2 linked regions of the Canis lupus familiaris genome follow. The protein of the gene in region 2 purifies or fractionates together with the protein of the main gene of each other region. This does not show direct contact. Links are inferred from orthologs where the notes say so. Each region holds a gene or a part of one and is shown on either strand. Other genes may lie near its edges.

Region 1 (3,810 bases), about 48 Mb from region 2:
TCAAGCCTTTTTATTTATTTATTTTTTTTAAGTAAGCTTTATATCTAGCTGGGAGCTTGAACCCACGACCCTGAGATCAAGCATTGTATGTTCTACTGATTGAGCCAGCAGGGCATCCTGCTGAAATATTTTTAAGCGTATTCACAGAGTTAAACACTTAACATATAACTTGTGTTTCAGAATTTTAGATTCTGGTTTTATTCTAAATTTATTATTTTTCTGTTCCTCTGGTTTACCTTGTTCTTTGGAACCAAGGTGAGGAGGTTTGTTTGTTTGATATTTGACATCTGAGCTAGAATGGGGTCCATATTTCATACCCCATGCAGTGAATCCCCCCCGGCTTCTGAACAGCAGTGTCACAGAGCAGCCCAGAATGGTGGCGATGGAGGGGCAGGGTCCCAGGGATGGATGGCCCCTGTGATGAAGGTGATGTGATTGTAACAGGTGTTCAAGTCCTTGAGAAATCTGCTTTGAATTGAATGTTTTTGTTTCTTTGAAAACCAAAGTTTCTGGTCCATCGGAGGATCCCAGTGTGAATTTCCTCAAGAATGTCGGGGAGAGTGTGGCGGCTGCCCTGAGCCCTTTGGGTAAGTGGCTGCCTCTGTACTTTGGGAGTGGCAGCAACTCCGAGTGCTGGGTGATGGGTGGCTTTGGGCGGCTGGCCCCTGGGTTGCTGTAGAGGAATGCTAACTGCCGTGCCCTTGTAGCGTCACATAGGCCTTTGCCATAGCGCGGCACTGCAGGCCACTCATTTGAATTCCCTGACAGATTCTTGAGCTTTCCCCATGGAATGAAGTGGAATCAGAGTGGTTGGTTGGGATAATCCCAGTAGGCTGAGCTACGGGGTTGGCCTGTCAGCCTCTGACTGTTCTTCCCACAGAGGACAGTCTGCTCCTCACGTCCACCCTACAAACAGCCCAGGGTTTACTCAAGGACTTGGGTGAGTCATTAGTTGAGAGGCCATTTCTCTTTTCCTCCCTTTTGTCTTTTGCAGTACCAGCCTTTTTGGTGCTTGCCGAGTACCAGGCTTGTGCCCATGCTAGGGAGCAGGGCATGAGGGAGGCGGGAGTTCTATATGATGCCCGGTACCTGGCCCTCAGTTCAGGTGTGAAGTGTCTGGGTGGGTGAACCAAAGCAGGTACCCCCGAGTGGTGAGCCTGGCCCAAGGCTTTAGAAGGCACCTGTTGCATCTGCAGCCCTGACGGTGGTCGCTGCAGGGCTGGGCCCTGTGGCAGTGGGAGTCCATGACAAAGGTGATCTCTGGTGCAGGATTACAGCAGGTCTGTGATCTTTGCCTAGAAGAGCGCTCACCTCTGTGACTGCGGTGGCAGGAAGTGTCCGCTCAGGTGGCCTAGAAGGCCTGTCTGAAAGGATGCAGATGGGAAGGGAGGCAGGACTGCTCTTGCCTCCCACTGGATACCGTTTCAGCTGCCACTCCTCAAGGCCAGGACACAATTTCAAAGCAGCAGTGATGTCCTGGCCTTGCTGCTCCGTGAAATAGCTCAGACCATATACTGTTTTTGGGACTGGAGTCAAAGGCTCTTTAGAGAAAGTGAAAAGAGCGCTGATGTTCTTAGTGCTTTCTAAGGAGGATAAAAACGGAGCAGTGATTAGGTCATAATCGGGAGATAAGCCTATTGCTAAACCCCGGCTGCCACTCGAGATGTGGTGACGAAAGCACGAGGCTGTGTTGAACTTTGAGAGATGGTCCTCTAATGGGTTGTGATTTAGGGGCACGGGAAGCTGTGCAGAATCCCAGGTCAACATTCTGGATCCTGGTAAATTAGTCTTGGGTTGGGCCTGGGATCTGTGTGTTTTGAAGGCTTGCCAGTGACTTTGGGTCGCACTTGCTGTCCATCCTGAGGCCCATCTGCGCTGGGGGCATGTTTTAGAGCTTGACCCAAATTCCCTACACAGGACTTACGGGAATAATTTTGGCAGTGCTCAGGTGTTGTAGGATAAGGGTAAAGGCCTTTTCAGGTCTTTCAAAGTGGATGGAGTTACTTTGTACCAACTCGGGAGGAGCCTAGAGCTGTCCAGAAAAACAAGGGAAGTTTCAGTAAGTATGCCTTTGAGGGTTTCAGTTGAGGAGGGCCACTTGAGGAATTGATTCAACTCTAGAGTTATAGGTATTTTCCTTTGTTACAAGGAACTGACAGCTAGGATGACTCATCCTGCTAACTGCCTAGAAGGGACTGTTCCCAGAGCAGGGGCCCAGAGGGACAGACAGTAATACCTCCCAGAGGGCAGACTGTGTGCAGTGACTCAGCGGTTTCAAAGTAAAACCCCAAGACCTTGTTTGGTAGGTGCCATAAGAACCAGCTGAGCGGGTCTACCATGGAGTCACAGGACTGCTCTGGCTTGGGTTTGTAGTCACTGATTCCTTTACAAAGGTCCTGTCATTTGCTCACACAGAAAAGTTAGACGGTGTATGGGTGTTCACTGTACTGTTCTTCCAACTTTTTTGTTTGGTTGAACCTTTCCTTTTTTCTTTAAAGGTTTATTTCTTGAGAGAGTGCGTGTGCAGGTGTGGGGGAAGGGCAGAGGGAGAGAGAATCCCAAGCAGACTCCCAGCTGAGCACTAAGCTGGACACATGGGGTTTGAGATTAGAACCTGAGTTGAAACCAAGGGTTGGAAACTCAACCTACTGAGCCATCCAGGTGCCCCTGCTTGACCCTTTCATGATGAAAAGTTGGAGGGAGGGGGCATCTGAGTGGCTTAAACGTCTGTCTTTGGCTCAGGTCATGATCTCAGGGTCCTGGGACTGAGCCTCACATTGGGCTCCCTACTCAGTGGGGCGTCTGCTTCTCCCTCTGCCCCTCCACTTGTGTTCTCTCTTGCTCTCTCTCTCTTTCAAATAAACGAATAAATAAATCTTAAAAAAAAAAAAAAGTCGGAGAGAGGATAAAAGGAGAAAAAGGACTTAAATATTGCAGATGGGAGTATTGGTAACTAAGCCTGTCTTTATCTCTGTTTGCTCCTCACTCTACCAAAGTGACAATAAAGGGATTAAACACAAGAGTATAAAGCAACACAGACAAAGAAAAAGGAAAGTCCTAGATGACGAGGTAAGATGACCTTAAACTTTGAAAGACAAGCAGTGGATTTTGAGGGTGGTGAGCAACTGTGTGGAGGCATCAGAGGCCAGGGAATTGGGGGTGTTTGAAGACCAGTCTTCAGGATCCTGTAGCCATTACTGGCTGGTCAGCCGAATGATGGTCCCTGCCATCCCAGGCATGAGACCTGATGGTTAGATGCTGGAGGGCACAGGGCGAGGCGGCAGCCTGAGTGAGCAGTCGGTCCAGCAGGGGCTGAGGTGTCCCTGCTCGGGAGAGGCCATGCGTGCCGGGGCAATGTCCTGTAGCTCTGCCACCCAGGATCCCACTGCCTGGCCAGGTGCCCCATCACCCTCCAGAGGAAAGCGAATCATGGCCCTGGCCCCTCAGGGGGTTCCTCCTGGCAGCCTCCTCTTAATAATGCCTTGCTAGGATCAGACTGCCGTGGTTGCCAGCCATTGGGGAAAAATCGCAGCGTATGGACAAGAAGGAACATGGGGAAGGATGAGAGTGTCCGCATCCTCCATGAGATCCAAATAAGTACTTCCATCCTTGATAGAAGAACAGGATATCATAGAAATGATAACAGATTTATAGAGAACAGATTAATAACGTTTCCTGGGAATTAAGAAGAAAAATAAGATAAAACTTCAAGAGAAGGCTTAGGTTTTAAGGTCATTTCAAGGAAATGTTCTAAAAACAAGAGGTGAGGAGAGTGAAAAGGTGAGAAGGTCTGAGAGTTAGTTCTGGAGG
Region 2 (4,518 bases):
TCTCTCACTTCATTTAGGTCATCCCTCATTAGCTCATCTGATATAAGCAGCCCTCACGACTCTATTCTCTTATCTGGCTTTATTTATTTCTCCTTCTTGAACTTACTCATATATTTTGTCTGTCTGCCACGCTGGACTAGACTAAGCTGTAAACCTGTCTTCTCCATTTTAGTCACGGTGCTACCATTCTTCTAGTTGCTCAAACCAGATGCCTGGAATGTAGCTTTGAGTCCCCTCCCCCTTTCCTTTCCACTGCTGCTCACTCCTATTGCTAAAGTATATCTGAAACATTTCATTTCTTACACTCTCCATGTCTACTGTCCTTATCTGTGATCCCATCATCTCTTGAGTCTCCTCTCATTGATACTTGTTCTGCATAGGAGCCAGGGGGCAAGTCTTTTCTAAAAATGTGATCAAATTACTCCTTAAAGTCCTGCTATGTGTTCCTATTGTACTTTATCCCTTGCCTTACAAGGCCCTGTTTACCAATGCAGCAACACTACATGCCATTTATCCCTTGTTCACCTTTTTTTTTTCTTTGATTCATTTGTGCTCTCTATCCCCCTGCGTAGAATCCCTCTCTTCCTACTCTTTTGGTTAATTCCTCCCCCATTTTTAAGGACTCAGCTGAAATGTGACCTACCCAGAGATATATATGCCTTTACCACTGTATTAAAATAGTTTTTTCCAACCTCCATTATTTTCTGTCTCGGACCCTATTTGATTTCTTTGTATCATTTCATATTTGCTTGAAAGACACTTTTAAGAAAATGAAATGGTAAGTCACAGTCTGGGAGAAGGTATTTGGGTGGGATACATGCATTCGACAATGGGCTCATCTCCAGAATAAATAACTTGTAAATCTATAATATAAAGGAAACACAATCAGGCAAAAAGATGGGAACAAATGCCTCACAAAAGAAGATGAATGGCCAATAAACACATGCAAATATGCTCACGTTAACTGTTCGAGGAGTTAAAGTCAAAACCACATTGATAGACAATGATGGCAAATTGACCAATGTAGATCTACTGGATCTCTTCGTCTACCGCTAGGAATGCAAAACGGTACGTCTGTTTTTGAAAACGGGTGGCAGGTTTCTGTGGAGTTAAACATTCACTTACCATAGGACCTACACGCCCTGGGGGAAGCAGTTACCACCCATATACATTTTTCAAAACTCATGGAATCGTACACTTAAAATTTGCGCATTTTATTGAATCTAAACTTTGCTATAAAAGCAAAATGGGGGGAAAAACCCCAAAATGATAATCAGAAAAGTTCCCGGGGGGTTGTCCTCGGTCCTTCCGGAGGACCCAGAGGGACCCGGTCGCGGGCGCCTCCAGATTGGCAAGCCAGGCACTCGGAGGACGCGAAACGAAAGCTCGGGAAGAGTGCGGTTGGCCCGGGAGGCGGGGCAGCGGCCGCGCACCCCCACACCCCTGGCCCGCGGCCGCCAGTTGCGGTTTCGATTTCCCATCCGCAGTTGGGGTTCCCCGGCGGCGGCCCCGCCTCTCAGCGCTGGGTCTGCGTCCGCTGCCTGAGATCCCTACAAGCCCGGCACAGGCATTTAAGGGAGTGAGCGCGGGCGAGGTGCGGACGTCCCCGGGAGCTGAGCTGCAGAATGACGGCCGAGGAGCGGCGAAACCTGCACGCCTTCCGGGACTATGTCATCAAGACTCTGGACCCTGCCTACATCCTGAGCTACATGGCCCCCTGGTTTAAGGATGGTGAGTGGTCCCCAGGGACGCCTGCCCCTCGGAGCAAGGAAACCACTCAGGACTCTGTTCTCCCCTTTTAATCAACACAAGTAGCATGCTAGGAACGCGGATGTTGAGGCAGGATCCTCAGGATTGTAGCCTGGAGTTCGCCAGGACAGTCTGAGGAGCCTTTAGGGGTCCAGATGGAGAAACAGCCCCAGAGAAGGGAAATGACTTGTGTAGGTGTGCACCTCTATTTAGGTTCAAGAAGGGGGAAACAAACCATTGTCCATTTTACTTTCTCTAATGCTTAATGTCTACCGTGTCTTCAGCTTTGTAGTGACAATAGAGATTCAGGAGTGAGATGTAGGCCCCTCTTTAAAATACTTTGCAGCCCAAGATTTTGTGGGAGTGGAGACTGCTGAGTATGTAAATGATTGCAAAATGCTTCAAGGTAATTGACAGTGACTTTGACAGTGACTCTTGCCGAGTCTTCTCTGCACTTAGGAATTACTGGAAGCTTGCCAGGGGTAAGAGACTCTGGGCTGAATGGCTGCCGGCTTCATTTCAGGTGTTTCTGTCTAGATTTTGGAGACACCTGATGATAGATCTTTGTTAATTTGAATCCAGGTGCACTGCACTGGAGAGGAACAGAGGCTTTGAGGAAAGAGGAAAAAGGAGGTGATGCCTGGAAGGAGCTGAAAGGAGAAAGGGGGATCTGGTCACTCCTTTTCAGGCTCCAAGTGCGGAAATATCAAGTGGCAGGACATGTGAAGGCAACCATTTGGTCATTGCCCCAGACATGGAGTTAGTGTACAAAGTCATGTGACCACCAGCAGTTTGGTGGATAGTTTTCTGTTCCTCGGCCTTGTGTGTGTGTGTGTGTGTGTGTGTGTGTGTGTGTGTGTTTAGCTCCTTTTGCCTTTTCTCCCATATTTCATACTGTCTAAGCAAAAACCTGGAAAGAGGACCATGAAAGTATTTCTAACTCTGCTTTCTGAGTCTGGTGTAATTAAAGATGCCATGGAGTGGTCCCATCTCCTTTATTGTGGGTATACTTTTTCCACACATTGTTAAGAAACTCTCTTTTTAAAGGATTGCCCTAGAATATGTTCCCAGACTTCCCACCAAACTAGAAGAAACTTCTAGAGAGGATGCAGGGTGGAGGGAAGGTAGGTTGATGAAGAATGAGCATCATCTGCCTGAACAGAGACTTTGCTGCCTTCTTGCAGTTCCTTCCATTGCTGGGATTTGTTACAATCGCCATCCCCATTTTTTTTTTTTAAAGATTTTATTTATTCGTGAGAGAGAGAGGTAGAGACATAGGCAGAGGAAGAAGCAGGCTCCTTGCAGGGAGCCGGATGTGGGACTCGATCCCCAGCCCAGATCCTGGGATTGTGCCCTGAGCTGAAGGCAGACATTCAACTACTGAGCCACCCAGGTGTCCCTTGCCATCCCTATTTGAGAAAGTCTGACAACCCTTTTCAGGTTTTTTTTTTTTTTCTTCAGTGATTAGTGGTTCTGCAGTTTGATGAGCCACTCTTCTATTTGTAGATGAGGTGCAGTATATTCAGGCTGAGAAGAACAATAAAGGCACGATGGAGGCTGCCTCACTTTTTCTTAAGTGCCTATTGGAGCTCCAAGAAGAAGGCTGGTTCCGTGGCTTTTTGGATGCCCTTGGTCATGCAGGTTAGTTCATTCTTCTTACTCATAAATCAGGATATTAACTGACTGTTTCAGAATGCGGTAAAAGTGAAATGCTATTAATTTTGAGCTATCCTCATGTGCTTCATGTTGCTTAATCTGAGGCAATGTAAAGATTACTTTCAATCACGATATAATTTGCCTACCTGAAATATCCAAAGGAATCTGCAGATTGTTGGGAGAGTTTAACAAGCTTATTAGATATAAGATTAGTATACAAAAATTAATTGCATTTCTGCACCATACACAAAAACAAACTCAAAATGGATTAAAAACTTAAATGTAAGACCTGAAACCATAAAATTCCTAGAAGAAAACATAGGCAGTGATATCTTTGACATCAGCCATAGAAACATTTTTTTACATTGATCTACTTTAGCAAGAGAAATAAAGCAAAATTAAACTATTGGAACTACATCAAATAAAAAGCTTTTGCACAGCAAAGGAAATCATCAACAAAATAAGACAACCTACTGATTGGGAGAAGATATTTGCAAATGTATCCAATTAGGGGTTAATATCCAAAATATATGAAGAACTTATACAACTCAACACCAAAAAGTCAAACAATCTTTTTTTTTTTTTTTAAAGATTATTTATTTATTTATTCATGAGAGGCACAGAGACAGAGAGAGAGGCAGAGACACAGGCAGAGGGAGAAGTAGGCTCCATGCAGGGAGCCTGATGTGGGACTCAATTCCGGGTCTCCAGAATCAGGCCCTGGACTGAAGGTGGTGCTAAACCACTGGGGCTGCCCCAAAGTCAAACAATCTGATTAAAAAATTGGCAGAATGTTAAGCAACTACAAAATACTAAATAAAAAGTTTGGCAAGCCCCCCCCCCCCCCAAAAAACAAAAGACAGAAGACACGAATAGACATTTTTCCGAAGAAGACCAACAGACACGTGGAAAGATGCTCAGCATCACTAACCATCAGGGAAATGAAAATGAGAACCAAAATGAGATGTCACCTCACACCTGTCAGAATGGCCAAAATCAAAAGCACAAGAAATAATAAATGTTGGTGAGGATGTGCAGAAAAAAGAATCCTAATGCATTGTTGGTGGGAATGCAAACTAATGCAGCCACTGTGGAAAACAGTATGGAGTTTCT

The links.
Region 1: the proteins of DDX58 (region 2) and SQSTM1 purify together in Homo sapiens (affinity purification with western blotting; 5 studies listed by BioGRID). This does not show direct contact. The link is inferred for Canis lupus familiaris from reciprocal best matches to the Homo sapiens genes RIGI and SQSTM1.

What each region holds. Positions count from the first base shown.
Region 1 is NC_049232.1:2,128,752-2,132,561, reverse strand, and holds part of SQSTM1 (sequestosome-1), read left to right. Parts: intron 1-506; coding exon 507-587; intron 588-880; coding exon 881-940; intron 941-3,810. UniProt on the Homo sapiens protein: Molecular adapter required for selective macroautophagy (aggrephagy) by acting as a bridge between polyubiquitinated proteins and autophagosomes.
Region 2 is NC_049232.1:50,025,955-50,030,472, reverse strand, and holds the start of DDX58 (antiviral innate immune response receptor RIG-I), read left to right. Parts: upstream 1-1,457; 5' UTR 1,458-1,625; coding exon 1,626-1,731; intron 1,732-3,255; coding exon 3,256-3,390; intron 3,391-4,518.